3 linked regions of the Drosophila melanogaster genome follow. The protein of the gene in region 2 interacts with the protein of the main gene of each other region in a pairwise test. Each region holds a gene or a part of one and is shown on either strand. Other genes may lie near its edges.

What was found. Proteins that work in one complex are often made in the same cells at the same time.
Region 1: the proteins of Pis (region 2) and CG33143 interact in a two-hybrid assay, tested with the Drosophila melanogaster proteins (one large-scale study listed by BioGRID).
Region 3: the proteins of Pis (region 2) and CG34268 interact in a two-hybrid assay, tested with the Drosophila melanogaster proteins (one large-scale study listed by BioGRID).

What each region holds. Positions count from the first base shown.
Region 1 is NT_033778.4:22,612,031-22,617,464, reverse strand, and holds the start of CG33143 (uncharacterized protein), read right to left. Parts: upstream 3,138-5,434; 5' UTR 2,744-3,137; intron 1-2,743. Other genes in the region: tous (testes of unusual size), read left to right, coding at 4,245-4,444, 4,503-4,586, 4,675-5,434.
Region 2 is NC_004354.4:15,700,556-15,705,497, reverse strand, and holds Pis (phosphatidylinositol synthase), read left to right. Parts: upstream 1-1,727; 5' UTR 1,728-1,876; coding exon 1,877-1,928; intron 1,929-2,179; coding exon 2,180-2,314; intron 2,315-2,410; coding exon of another isoform or gene 2,411-2,469; exon of another isoform or gene 2,470-2,685; intron 2,686-2,835; coding exon 2,836-2,989; intron 2,990-3,082; coding exon 3,083-3,234; intron 3,235-3,312; coding exon 3,313-3,494; 3' UTR 3,495-4,047; downstream 4,048-4,942. Other genes in the region: Hap40 (Huntingtin-associated protein 40 kDa), read right to left, coding at 47-905, 1,092-1,270; CG9240 (uncharacterized protein), read left to right, coding at 4,411-4,509, 4,691-4,942. UniProt on the Drosophila melanogaster protein: Catalyzes the biosynthesis of phosphatidylinositol (PtdIns) as well as PtdIns:inositol exchange reaction. May thus act to reduce an excessive cellular PtdIns content.
Region 3 is NT_037436.4:499,020-502,037, reverse strand, and holds CG34268 (uncharacterized protein), read right to left. Parts: upstream 1,074-3,018; 5' UTR 1,014-1,073; coding exon 1,002-1,013; intron 939-1,001; coding exon 699-938; 3' UTR 638-698; downstream 1-637. Other genes in the region: CG34267 (uncharacterized protein), read left to right, coding at 1,665-1,676, 1,740-1,961.

The sequences.
Region 1 (5,434 bases), on a different chromosome or scaffold from region 2:
GACAATAAATCAATCAGCTGTGCCAACATCCAATTCCTGCGCAGAAAATGCTCCAATGCTCCAATGACACCCCCCACCACCCCGCGCCATATATTCCCAGCCCGGCATATTGGTAGTCGCGTGTGGCGCGGTGTGTGAGCGCTATTAACAAAAAGGTCAACTTGGTCGCTACAATTGAAGCCCGAAAGCCGAGAGCCAAGCCAAAAGGAAAGGAATGGAATGGAGAGGAAAGGAAAGGGCTAGGAGAAAATGGGAAATACCGGGGCAAAGGCTTGTGTGTGCTGCGCTTCAGCTTTTACACCGGTGCACACTGCTCAAAAGTCAACATTTGACCTGGAACTAATGACTAAACTGGCAAGCCAACATGGCGGATGAGCAATAATGCCAGTCCAAGAGCCATATAAAGCCTATCAGTGTGTGTCTCAGCAACTGCAACTTAAAATAAGCTCATTATTAAATTATATGTTTTATGCGTATTAGGAGTAAAATTTTCAAAAAAATTTTAAATTAGGAAATGACCTGAAATTTAAACCCAGCACGTCATGATCTATAATTTAGTGTTGCTTGAAGTTAAATAGAGTTTGTGGTGAACAATAAGAAATTTTTCCCAGTGCAGAGTGTATATTTGTACAAGTGCGAGCACTGGTGTGTGTAAGTGAAACGTTTCGGAGCGAAAGAGATGGCGAAAGAAAGGGCGGGCGCATGCTATTATGTCCTGGCGGTAAAACAAAAAACGAAAGGCTAGAGAAAATAAGGGAAAACACTTGACTCCAATTTCGGCGAGATTTTCCACAGGTATGCTGGGAACAGAAGATGTGGGGAAGGTCGCTGATGAAAGGAGTGCAGTGAAGAGTTGGGGGAAATGCGGGAAACAGGCTGCCAAGGATGATGATAAAAAATTAAGCGCGTAATGGGAGGCTAAAGTTGGCTTTAATTGAGTACTACTTTCAGCTTAAAGCTCGCGAGGATGGGAGCTGATAAAAAAATAATTGCAACAATGAAAGTTCAACATGGTATCATTTCAGATTCTCTGCAGGATTTTTCTTTTCCGCAATGCGCAGTTGAGTGTGAAAAGTTTGAAAGTTAAAATACAGTCTCCGAAAAATATAAACTTTTTAGCACAGTAAAATAGTAAAAAAATACATTGACAAGATAAATAGTTTATGCTTCTCGCATTTAACAAGCCAATTAGATTACCTCAGTTCGAATGGCTAAGTTACCTGTAAACATTTCATTCCAAATTTTATTCTTATGACCGTGTAAAGAAAGAATTTTTGATTGGACTCAAGTTTTTATGGGATAATCAAAATAATAGCTTTCGATGTGTGTACACTTCAGCTTATTATGATCTCCATTATGAGAAAACTTCACGTTGTTCTTTAGACTTTTTGATGGATTTCTTCGTGCTGTTTTTATTTATGCGTAAACTCATTCCATTACGATGAAATTTTGTTTATTTACAGATTGCTAATGAGCACAAACAACTTTCAGCGATGAAGAAATTTCCATTTATAATCGGTCAAACTTTGCGGCATTTTGCTCGACTTCGTGCGAGTCCACAAATACGGGGAGCGAGTCGTGTTAATATATATATATATGTAAACATATATAGAATCGGTGCATATATCTAGATGTACTGCCACATGGTGGAGCAATGCACGCAATGCGGCGACTGTGGTTGCGACGGATTTAAATTTAAACGAACATTTACGTTTTCCGGGCATTTTGCCGCCGATCCGATTTTCATTTGACCTGTTCTAGTTGCGGTGAATGTGCGGATATCGGTATAAATATGCATATATACATACATATACGATTCTTTGTGGAGAACGATTTGTTTATAATAACCTACTACGTGCGACTCGCTACGGTTCGAATGGCCAAATAAAACAGGGGAAATTGAGAGATGAAAAAGATTTACAGCAGTGCAAGGGCGAGGTATTAACCCACACAAAAATTCAAAAACACACAGGTTAATTGTGAATTCGCTGCCTGTTTTCGCAAAACAAACGAAACAGGAGCATTAAAATTACTTTTTAATTGCCACAGCTGTGCTGCTTTTCAGGTTGAGTTGCTGGCTGACAGAGTCCATTAGGCCATTTTCCATTCCATTTCATTTGCGTTTTCATCGCACATTTTCCGTTCCCTTTTTTCCCAGTTCCGATTCTGATTTGCGCAATTTAATTGGCTTAAAATTCAGTTGCCTCCTTGAAAACAGCCGCAAAGGACTCAGGACTCAGAAGTTTTCACTGTTAATTGAGCGACTGTCACAGAATCACAAGCACACCTACTTATGTACACACAGAAAAGAAATTCGGAGATCCGATGGCTTTCACATTTGTAAGAACTGTGGCACGAAGTTATTTTTAAGCCCAAGCATTGATTGTTTCAAAATAGTTTTCAAATCATTCGAGAATAACCAGACAAGTATTCGGCCAAGTCGTAAATCGATAGAGAACAATAAAAGTGCTATAAGGCCATTTAATAGTTTTTCTAGATCAATAATAATATTAATTACAATGTAACTTTGAGTATAAACTAGCTTCCAACTATCTGTTATATATGAAAAAGAAAAATATTGCTTCAGATAAATGATAACTGTGTGGAAATTCTCTCGTCCAGTGGACAAACAAAAGTTTTAACAGCTCGCGGCACGTTTGAAATCTGCAAAACACACACAATTCAGCCCTCAAAGGCTATGTACTGTCACACAATTTACAAGTTCTTTTTTTTTTTTATTTACTTTTTGCCGTCGGACTCTGGTTAACCGGCTCGGCCACCTGCTAGTGACACGCCTCTCCGGCTCGCCGCCTCCTCCGTGCGGGTCGCGAGCCTGGATACAATACTGATTTTGGTTTTGAATCCGATGTGGATGCTGATGCGAGTGCGGATGAGGATTCGGAATCCCAGTCCCTGGCCCGATCCCTACTCGCAATCGGAGGTGGAAAGGCGTGCATCCACTGATAACGGCGAAAACAAACACTTCACTGCGCTCAGTTCTCAGTTGACTGTTGTCTGCACTCGGCTCTCTGCCCGATTAACTGTGCTTTGGAGCCACTGCCTTTCGCTTGCTTTCACTTCCGTTTCCGGTTTCCGTTTGCTCGTTGTGCTGCGGCCGACGCGAAAACTACTACTGAAATGGACAGCGGAAAATGAAAACGAAACTGAACCGAGAAAGCCGAAAGAGCGAAAGCTTTCCACGACAGCGGTGCACGGATTGGAGATGCTTATTTGACTATTTTATGGCTAATTCGAAGGGGGTGTACTTGATGGAAATCTTTAATGAACTACAGACAAATTTGAAATTGTTGTTATATTTTTAAAAAAATTTTCTTTCTGATATGTCTTTTCTAATTCTAATAACTATTAATCACAAAAGTACCGCCAAAGTTCACCCCAACGTAGTTGAGTTTGAAATTATTCTATTGGACAATACTGCTATTAAATACTTTATACACATGAAAATTGTGTTGTCTGAAAGGAAAACCATTAATCAAGCCAATTCCCCACCCAATTTATTTCCCCAACTGGGAGAGCTCAAACCATTTTCGGCATATCCAACTTGTAGGATTGTGGACACAAAAGCTTTCCCCCTTTCCCAAGAATTTCCCAGCTGAAGAGGGGCCGAGCAGCTTTTCTTTAACTAACAATTTCTTGCGTTAGGTCGTGTTCGCAGTGCCAAGGAGACGATAGCCGCCAACTACTTGTGGGGATTTTGGGGGATGACACAATGCTTGGAGACCCAACTGACTGGCTGGCTGTCTGACTGGCTGATTGACTGACTGACAGAGTGACACAGTGACTGGCAGACCCATATTCAGCGAAAAGCGCATTGACAGAGTTCAAGTGCGACGGTGTGGCTGTTGCTCTATTGTTGGCCAGGAAACGAGCGCCGGTTTCGGCGGAAATTTCAATGTTGTTTTTATCAAGCGCTTAGCTTTCATCACAGACCCCTCCCTTGTCACTCGAGGGTTTAAATTAAAAGCATACTTAGCGGCGCTTAATTACTTATTCATGGACGCTCGCGGCTCCGTTCAGATTGGAATAGACCCAGAGCCTGGTGTTGTTAGGCTCTCACTCTCACTTCCCATGGATGCCATGGAGTTTGCTGTCGCTGGCAGGACTCCCTAACGATTTGCCCCAGGTTGTTTGATCGAATTTCAGTTCCTCCAATTTGTCTGTCTGCCAGCTAAAATTGTAATCCCGGGTCTCAGTGCATATATTTTGTACAACACTCAACGAGGATGGACGAAGCCAACAAGGAGGATGTGAAGCGAGCCTCTCTTTCCAACAGCACGGTGACAATAAGGCCACGTCTCATCTACGGACTGCGTTCGGATGTCATTGGCAACATCCACTTCAACCTGACCAAGGAGGTCATCTATCCGGTGGAGGGAGTTCTAGCGTTCCACGACTACGTCCAAAACAAGCAAAGGTTTCTCAGGTGGGTACTCCACGTTTTATAACTGTTAAGGAATATCTTAACCCTTGTAATCCTGCAGGCTGCCGGAGGATACGCGACCCGAGGTGATATCCATAAGTTCGCATCGCAAACTACTGGCGGTGGTGGAAAGGCACTCGAAAAAGTAAGAGCTTCATTTCAGATGCTTTATATTTTATATAACTCAACCTAACATAGTTCAAATGAATGGACTCTTTTTAACTTTCTATTAGTGGTCGGTATATATCCATTTATGAGTTGGCCACCCTGAAGAAGCGACGTCACTTGGAGCTGCCGAGCAACCATCGCAATGCGGAGATACAGCAGATGATCTTTACCAATGACTCCAGATCGGTGGCCCTGATCACCCGCCCGCCGGAGGAAACCCTTATTATGTTGGTGCTGGACAAGACCAGTACAGTGATCGAGGGCAGGGCCACAATCCCGGGATCTCATGGAGGCGCCGAGTGCATCGCTGGCAATCCAAACGATTGCAATTTTATGGCGGTCGGAGGCGAGCGCACGTTGTTGCTGATGAGTAAATCGGAGCGAGGATTTAGTATCAGCAATAATCTGAAGGTGAAATATAGGGTCACCTCGATGGCTTTTCTATCGCTGGACCTGCTGATGATTGGTACGTCGGATGATCAGTTGATCCTGGTGGAGAACGGCGAGCAGAAGTTGGCTCAAAAGGCGAGCGATGCGGACACTGTGGACTTGATGATCGATCAGGAGGTGTTCGATCGGGACAAGGAGTTGCAGGAACAGCGTTTCCTGCCCACGCAGGCGGTTAGCCTTCCTGACAGGAGAGTCCTCTGCATGACCGCCTTCCCCAAGGGATTCGCCTACATCATCTTCAATCGGGCCTTCGTCTTCGAGCGCGTTTCCAAGTTCAAGTTCGAGAGAAAAACCATCCTTACGGTGCCCACGAATCTGTATGCCGAGCATATGTACCAGATTCTAAATCTGGCCATCGACCACAAACAGGAAACG
Region 2 (4,942 bases):
ATGATCCAGTAGTAAATAATGTACAGTACGATCTTAGGTCTAAAATCTAGTAGCTTCGGGCCAGTTCTGCATGCATCACCGCCAGCAGCTGCCTTTCCATGTCGCTCAGCGATCCAAATTCGGCTCCAAAGTCGCGCAGCAGGTGCTTTAGATCGCACATTTTACGCTCCACCCAGGCGCACGTAATCTCCGCCAGCGCATACTGCTGCTGTTCGGGCACAAATGCTCCCGGACGCTCCGCGGATCCACCGTCGTCCGCCGAACAGGGGAGCGACTCGAACTGCGCCAGGTTGTAGTAGTACTCGATCAGCTTGATGTGGGCGGGTGACTGGCGTGCGGGAGGCAGGTTCAAATGGACTAGGAGCAGCAGACGCAGCACCTCAACGCGCCGCAATAGTTCACCGTACATGCGAGCACCGCGTCGCTCGTAAACATTGTCCACAATGTCGTCGTAATGCTGCAGTGCACTGCGAAAATCGCCGCGCTGGCCACTCGTTTCGGCGCTGATTTCCAGGTCATGGATCTGATGGGTGGGCGAGGCAAAGCTGCTGGTGCTGTCCAGCTGCCGCTGCAGCTGCTTCAACTCGCGCAGAATGGCCGCCTTGAAGACGCAACCGTCCACCGCTCGATCCGCCGCACGGTGATAGCAGTGCACCGCTCCCTCCCGAAATCCCGAGTGGCGGGTGCGCAGATGCAGTCGCCCGGACTCGTTGTGCGCCGCTAGGAAGGATCTAGCTGCCCGCAGATAGGCCTCCGATTCGCGCTGCGGTGCGCCGCCGTAGGACTCGCACTTGGCATAGCCAATGTGGCACATGGCCGCATACTGCTGTATGCCCGACTCCTCGAAGCTGTAGGCCAGTCGCTGGAAGTCCGCCTGCACATCGACCACGCTGGGCGCAAAGCGTCTGGGAATTAGAGAAACAGTGGAGTATTGAGATTGTATTCCGTGATTCGAGGGCTTCTAATACACCCGTATTTCTAAACATAGTTTGAAGATGGAGGAAAAGCGATAAATTGGGCAATGACTTGCTAATCAAACGCAATGATCTGCAAGGTATCTGATTGCCCATACTTGGGCCGTAGCTACTCACTTGAAGAAGCCGGCCCGCTCGAACTTCTTGATCTTGCTGGAGGCCCTTAGATATTGCTCGATCAGGTTTTTGGGGTACTGATACTGCTCCAGTTGGTGGTGCTCATGGCCCGGAGCCGTCGATGGCGCGCCGCTGGAGGATCCGCCGCCGCCCAGACTGCCGCCGCGGAGTTTATCCATGCTACAGCATGTGGTTCTCCGCGCAGGTTACTTCGGGTCGCGCTACTTGTGCATTATATTTTCGCCTGTATTGTGTTTTTATTATTATTTGTGAAAACTTTATCGCGGGCGGTGTGACCATGCCATGTCCCGCTGAGGAATATACTAGCTTAGAAGCGGTATGCAAAGATCCATTTACACTGCTCAACGGCAGCGAAAATGTATCAAAACGGCACGCAAATCGCTGTCAAAACTCATTTAACAAGCAACTACACTAGTTGCCCGGTTTTGGTAGCTCATGTTAATAATCTAGTGACCTTTAATTTGTATTTGATACATTTAAAATGATATACTAATTACTAAATTTCTATTGGAAGAGAAAAATAGAAACTAGAAACAGATGTGTGTCAGTGGAAACCATCTGAAATCTTGTTGGCCAGTATAGTTCGGTATTTTCTCTCAAGTCTTTGTTTGTTTTTTCCAAAGGTCACGCTGCGGTCACACCAGATACAGCAAATTCTGTTTCCACTGTTTTTTCTGCAGCACTTTTGGCATTTAATTGGATAAAAACAAGCCGCAAAGCTAGAAGATCGCAAAATAAACGAAAAACCAAAGTGGCGAAACAAAATGACAATTGCCGAGCACGATAACGTCTTCATCTTTGTGCCAAATCTGATCGGTGAGTGGCTGTTTGTAGGTTTTATTCCGTGCTCCAGCTAGGTAAACAAATCGCATGTTCGATTTATGCGGCGCAATAATAGCGATTCTAGTGTTCCCTAATTGGATTAATAGGGGCTGTTTGGCAGCTAGTGCAATGCGAAGCGCAAGTTCAGCGATAAGAGCCGCTTCGTCCAACCCAATTGAGTCACCTCCAATGATTCTATACGTATGATGCACGCATATGTGCTGATTTATATTGATCTTTTCCAGGCTACGCCCGCATCGTTCTGGCCCTGATCGCCTTCTGGTTCATGTCCACCAACTATGTGATCTCCGGCTGGTGTTATGTAACCTCCGCCCTCCTGGACGCCGTCGATGGACAAGCAGCCCGAGCCTTTAACCAAAGTAAGCATTAACCATGCGATCGCCCTTGATATCGAAATGCCAGCTCATGCCAGCTATATGTCTGTATTTGATTTGTGCGCGCACTTTGGCCGCTAGCGCATTGCAAACACCTGTCTCCTCCGTACTGGTTATCTGCCGATATTGTGGAATTGTAGGCACGCCCTAAAGAGCCCGATATGGTCACGGCTATCCAGCCAATCGATGGATGACGTGGGGCTGAAGAATAGATAGAAAGCATGGCTAATATTGCCTTGGAACTATGCAATGTAGTTAGCAATATAGGAGGAAAAACATTAGGATAGAAGCCTTCTAAGAAACAAATTGCAGATACCATGCAATGTTTATGATATAGTAGTGTAGCAAACTGAAAGGTATGATCTTGCACTTGGATTTGTTGTATGCTAGCAGGATGATTTAGAGTCTTAACGAAAGGGTACTCCAACCAAAATATGTATATCAAAATATTAGTAATTATCATATGGTACTATGGAATCTTTACTAAATACTCGATTACCTCACAGGCACTCGCTTTGGCGCCATGCTAGACCAGTTGACCGATCGCTGCGGCACCACCGGCCTACTGGTCACCCTGGCCTACTTCTATCCCCGGTACATGTTCTGGTTCCAGCTGTCCATCGCCATCGACGTGGCCTGTCACTGGCTCTTCATGCAGACGTAAGTGGGGCAGGGGAAAGAGCAAGATGCTGGACGTCTGGACTGTCAAGGAATGGAAGGAAACTAATGACTCGTGGCTTTGTCTTTTTGCAGGAGCGTTGTGGTCGGACGCAGCTCGCACAAGGTGAATGACAACTTCATAATGCGATTGTATTACCAGAAGGACATACTCACATTCATGTGCTGCGTCAATGAGCTGTTTTACGTGTGCTTGTACCTCTTGCATTTCACCTACGGCCCGCTGAGTGAGTATACGCACACGCACATGCTTTGCATTTCAGCTGGCGAAACGTATCTAATCCGTTGATGGACTTCAATTGCAGTATTCGGCGCATCGCTCTTCAAGATACTCGCCTTCCTCACGGGTCCCTTTGCCGTGCTCAAGGCCCTGATCTCGGTGATGCACGCCTACGTGGCGGGCATCGATCTGGCGGCCGTGGATGTACGCGAGCGGCAGGAGCGGCGCCAGAAGTCGGAGCCGGTGAGCGGCAAGAAAGTGGAGTGAAAATGGGATGCGATCCGGGATCAATCTTCCAGCGACAGTTCTATCAACAGAAAGTACTAAATGAAACAACTCTTGATTCCAAGCTAAAAAAACAGAATTTTGAAGACGAATTGCGATCAGATGAAATATGGGCATTAGGCAACCAAATAGGCCGTAGTAGGAATTTAATTTATTTTTAATGCGCTATTGCAATGATTGTTGATTTTATTTGATATATTTTAGTTAGACGGGTGGTGAAATCACCCGACAATTTGTATTTAATAGATTTTTGAATTGAAATTTAAGCGATTCGTTCCAGTCAGTAGCTGTTGCATATTTATTTTGCCTTTAGTTAGCGTAGTTTACACGCTATATATGTATATATATGCCAATGCGTAAATGCAGGCCGATATACTATGAATGAGTGTCTATTTCCAGGATTTATCTCACTGTGCACGTTTTGGGTTTGACTAACCACCTTGTCCCAGCAACTCTCTCAATGTAACTAATGTATTTCTAATCGTAAGTTAAAGAATGTAATTGGAGACCTGCATGAAATATATACGACAAATGGATGTTAGATGTATTTGAAACATTAACATATATGTACCATACATGCCAGGCCTGGCAGACTTAGTCAAAATTGAAAAGTGAAAATAAATATATGTGGTTCTATGCGCTAAATTTTAGTTTAACCTTTTGGGCCATCGATTTTTGAAATTTGCGCCACACAAAATTTATCGTTAGACATCAAAATTATCGTTGGCACATCCCTGGCTGGCCGCTCAGCTGCGCCGCCTGTGCAGCCCTGATTTTTACACAACATAAACATTCGATTTTGGAGGAGCTCTTTTTTCGAGAGAATACCAGGTCGTTGGACACGGGAGATGCTCTGATTAGGGGCGCATGTGGAGCAGCCAACGCCGGAATCGCCGACATGAAAATCCTCTCCCGTCTGGGTCGCCTGATGCGCTACACGGTGGCCTACGCGGCAATCACACACTGCACCTTCGAGTACATTGGCGATTTCGTCCTGGTAAGGCGTCTAGGATGAAGTTCCTGGGCGGGTATACTTGCCCAACATGTGCCAGCATCACATAGTTCGTGTGAATGCATTAAGGTACTCTCCACTTGTTTTTCCACCTTGTGTAACTTCCACTTGATATCCTTCTTTTGCGGAAAAGTACGTACACTCACATTAATGCAACCATTTCCAGTGCAAAGGACCCTCCATGGAGCCCACCCTGCACTCGGACAACGTTCTTCTCACCGAGCGCTTGTCGAAACACTGGCGAACCTACCAGCCCGGCGACATAGTCATCGCCATATCGCCCATCAAAGCCGATCAGTTCATTTGCAAGCGTATCGTGGCCGTTTCCGGTGATCAGGTGCTAATCCAGAAGCCCATTCCCATTGAGGCGGAGTTTAGTGGTAATTCGGATGACAAGAAGAAGCCCGTGATGGTCAAG
Region 3 (3,018 bases), on a different chromosome or scaffold from region 2:
GCCCCAAATAAAAAACAATGAAAAATTAATGTACGATCCATTCAGGTTCATCATCGACACGAGATCGAACCGCAACCGGGGAAAAAGCCAAAGGGAAAGGCGGCTGGCTCAGAGTGTTTGAAGCGGGCTGTAAGGCTTTGCTTTGTCGCCACTTTAATTGGCTCAAATTAAAGACGAGCTGGGATTGGGTTTTAATGGCAACGTCTGTCGGGTAAGGGGTGGTGGGAGGGGGGGAGGTGGAGAAGATGCAGCTGCAGTTTAGAGGCGTCACTTTATTCCGCTGATTAATGAAGAAATTTCCCCTGGAAGCTTGCCGCCTTGTTAACGACTTTATGTGTGACTATTCGCAAATAACAAAATGAGCGAGGTGAAATTAAATTTTACAAAATGTCCCATAAAATAATCAGTCAGCCATGGAAACCACTGGGGTCTGCGGACAACTTTAGTTGCTATAAAATGTGTAAAATGGAAAGTGCTGACCACGAAAGGGTGTTGGGTACGTAATTTTTACGAGAATTATTTCCTTGATGTAGGAAAAAACATGCATCATTTAATTGTAAGTATAAAAATTAAGCCAGTCCCGATGGCATGACCCAAAAGTTTATCCTCGCTCTATACCAGAAAATAAAGATAAGTTCGATTTGGTTGGCAATTTATTTATGTCGGGTCAATTTCTAATGGGGTTGTGCTACAATAATTTAACCATGGTAGATGTGGTGTCCATAGGTGGGAACAGCGTAGGACTTCAGCACAGGGACATGCTGAACCACTGGGACATTTTTCACCACCGGAACATGCTGCACCACTGGAACATGCTTCACCACCGGAACAGATTTCACCACGGGCACCACCTGGGCCACAGGAACCACTCCGTAGGAGGGCTCAATGTAACCAGGAGCAGCAAAAGCCATTGCTACCAGGGCGAAGATTACAGCGATCTAAGGAGATATTTTGTAATATGAAAAATCCTAAGGATTTACTTTATAATTTCGTGAACTTACAATGCGGAACATTTTGGTATTTTGTTGTGAGTTAAAAACTTTAACTTGTGGTTATCGAACGTTTGTGTTAGCCGGACGACTGTTGTTGATTGACCATCCGTGGAATCATTATATATAGTAGTTAGCACCTCAGCCGAAAATAGCCCACAAATGACTTCTGTTCGAACGCCACGCGCCAAACCAGTTTAATTATCTTAAATTTGGTATCTTCGAATAATGCGCATTCTATTTGGTATGAAACCATCTCCAGCGGCGAACTTCCCGTTATCGGTCGTTATTGCTTAACCTTTGGACATAATCCCCATTCAATGACTTCTCAATTGTTTGCTGTTTTTAGATCCGTGTGCTTATTATTGTTTACTTCCAAGACCATTGTCATTATATCGATCGTCTTCACGCGTTTGTGATGATCACCAAGAACCAAGGTCATGTCCACAAAAAAAGACCTATATGAGGCACCTTTGGGTCAACTGATAAATCCATTCTCTCAATTAAACAGAAGAATTATGGCCAAACACGTTTGCCCATTTAGAAGTTGTTATTGAAGTGATTTTTGGCTATATAAAGTAACTGATCCATTGGTCAGCATCACCAGTCGTCCTACAAGCATCCAAGTGACAATATCTCCAAGTCAAGTTTGTAAATTACTAAGAAAATACCAAAATGTTCCGCATTGTAAGTTCACGAAATTATAAAGTAAATCCTTGTGATTTTTCATATTACAAAATATCTCCTTAGATCGCTGTGATCTTCGCCCTGGTAGCAATGGCTTTTGCTGCTCCTGGTTACATTGAGCCCTCCTACGGTGTGGTTCCTGTAGCCCAAGTGGTGCCCGTGGTGAAATCTGTTCCAGTGGTGCAGCACGTTCCGGTGGTGAAGAATGTCCCAGTGGTTCAGCATGTCCCTGTGCTGAAGTCCTACGCTGTTCCCACCTATGGACACCACATCTACCACGGTTAAATTTTGGAAAGAGCTCAATCGATATCGCACGGGAATAAATAAAATGTTTATGCTTGTAAAAGGAATCATATTTGACTTACTTGTCTCAAATCAAATGCACTTCAAATGAGTTTACAACTTCTGTGATTTATTCGCAGTATTTGCAGTGTGTGCGGATTATTTTCTCATGTCCCGCCGAGTTTTTGTATCCAACAACCCATTAAGAGCTGCAACAGAATTTTCTTCGGTCTGGTCCGATCGGAAATTTTTACGCAAGCCGTAAATGCGCCAAAATCTGGAACACAAATACGTTTTTCTCTGTTTTCGCGTTAGGGGCTTTGTAGTTTATTTGGTGCGGATCGAGTGATAAAAGCCAAATGTGCGCCTCGTTCCAGGCACCCAAAAGATACGGAGATTGAGCAGTTGCGTGGAACACATTTGGCAGGCTGTTCGCTGGTGAATTGACTCTTTGCACCGACTGAAGGTGATTAATGGACGCCAAGAGGAGCGGAGCGGAGTGGAGTTCAGTTGCGAAGAGTTGAGAGTAGCCGTACGATACTTCTTAAACGGTAGTTAAAATCTAACTAACACGCGAGAGAAAGAGTTTGCGTTTGCAGAGTTGGCTGATGAAAACGCTTGCGGCTGGCATTGAAGACTTCTATAAAATGGAAAGGGGGAGGCTTTTCTTGCTGACCCACTTTTGGCAGACAGAAAAATGTATTTGCCTTTGCTGACTGGCTTGGCTGGGCACTCCAAGAATTGTTAACAGCAATTTAGTGGTTATTCGCTTCTTCTTCGGCTGCTAAGTGTATTTTATTGTTCGCCAATTGCTGTTGTTGTCTTGTTAACGCTTTTTATAGCCGCCTTTTGCTTTTCGGCCAACTCTATTTGTCGAGTCTTTCTCTCCATGCAGATGTATCCCACAGATACATTCATTAACTTGTTTGCAGTTACAGTTTCCCTGTTTCCCCTCGCCGGTGATTTATGCTATCGCCAGCGTTTGTTCGTATATTTAGACATTTCCTATGTGTTGTCACCTCAATTTTTTCCTGCACTTGCTCAACTTTTTTATTTTAAT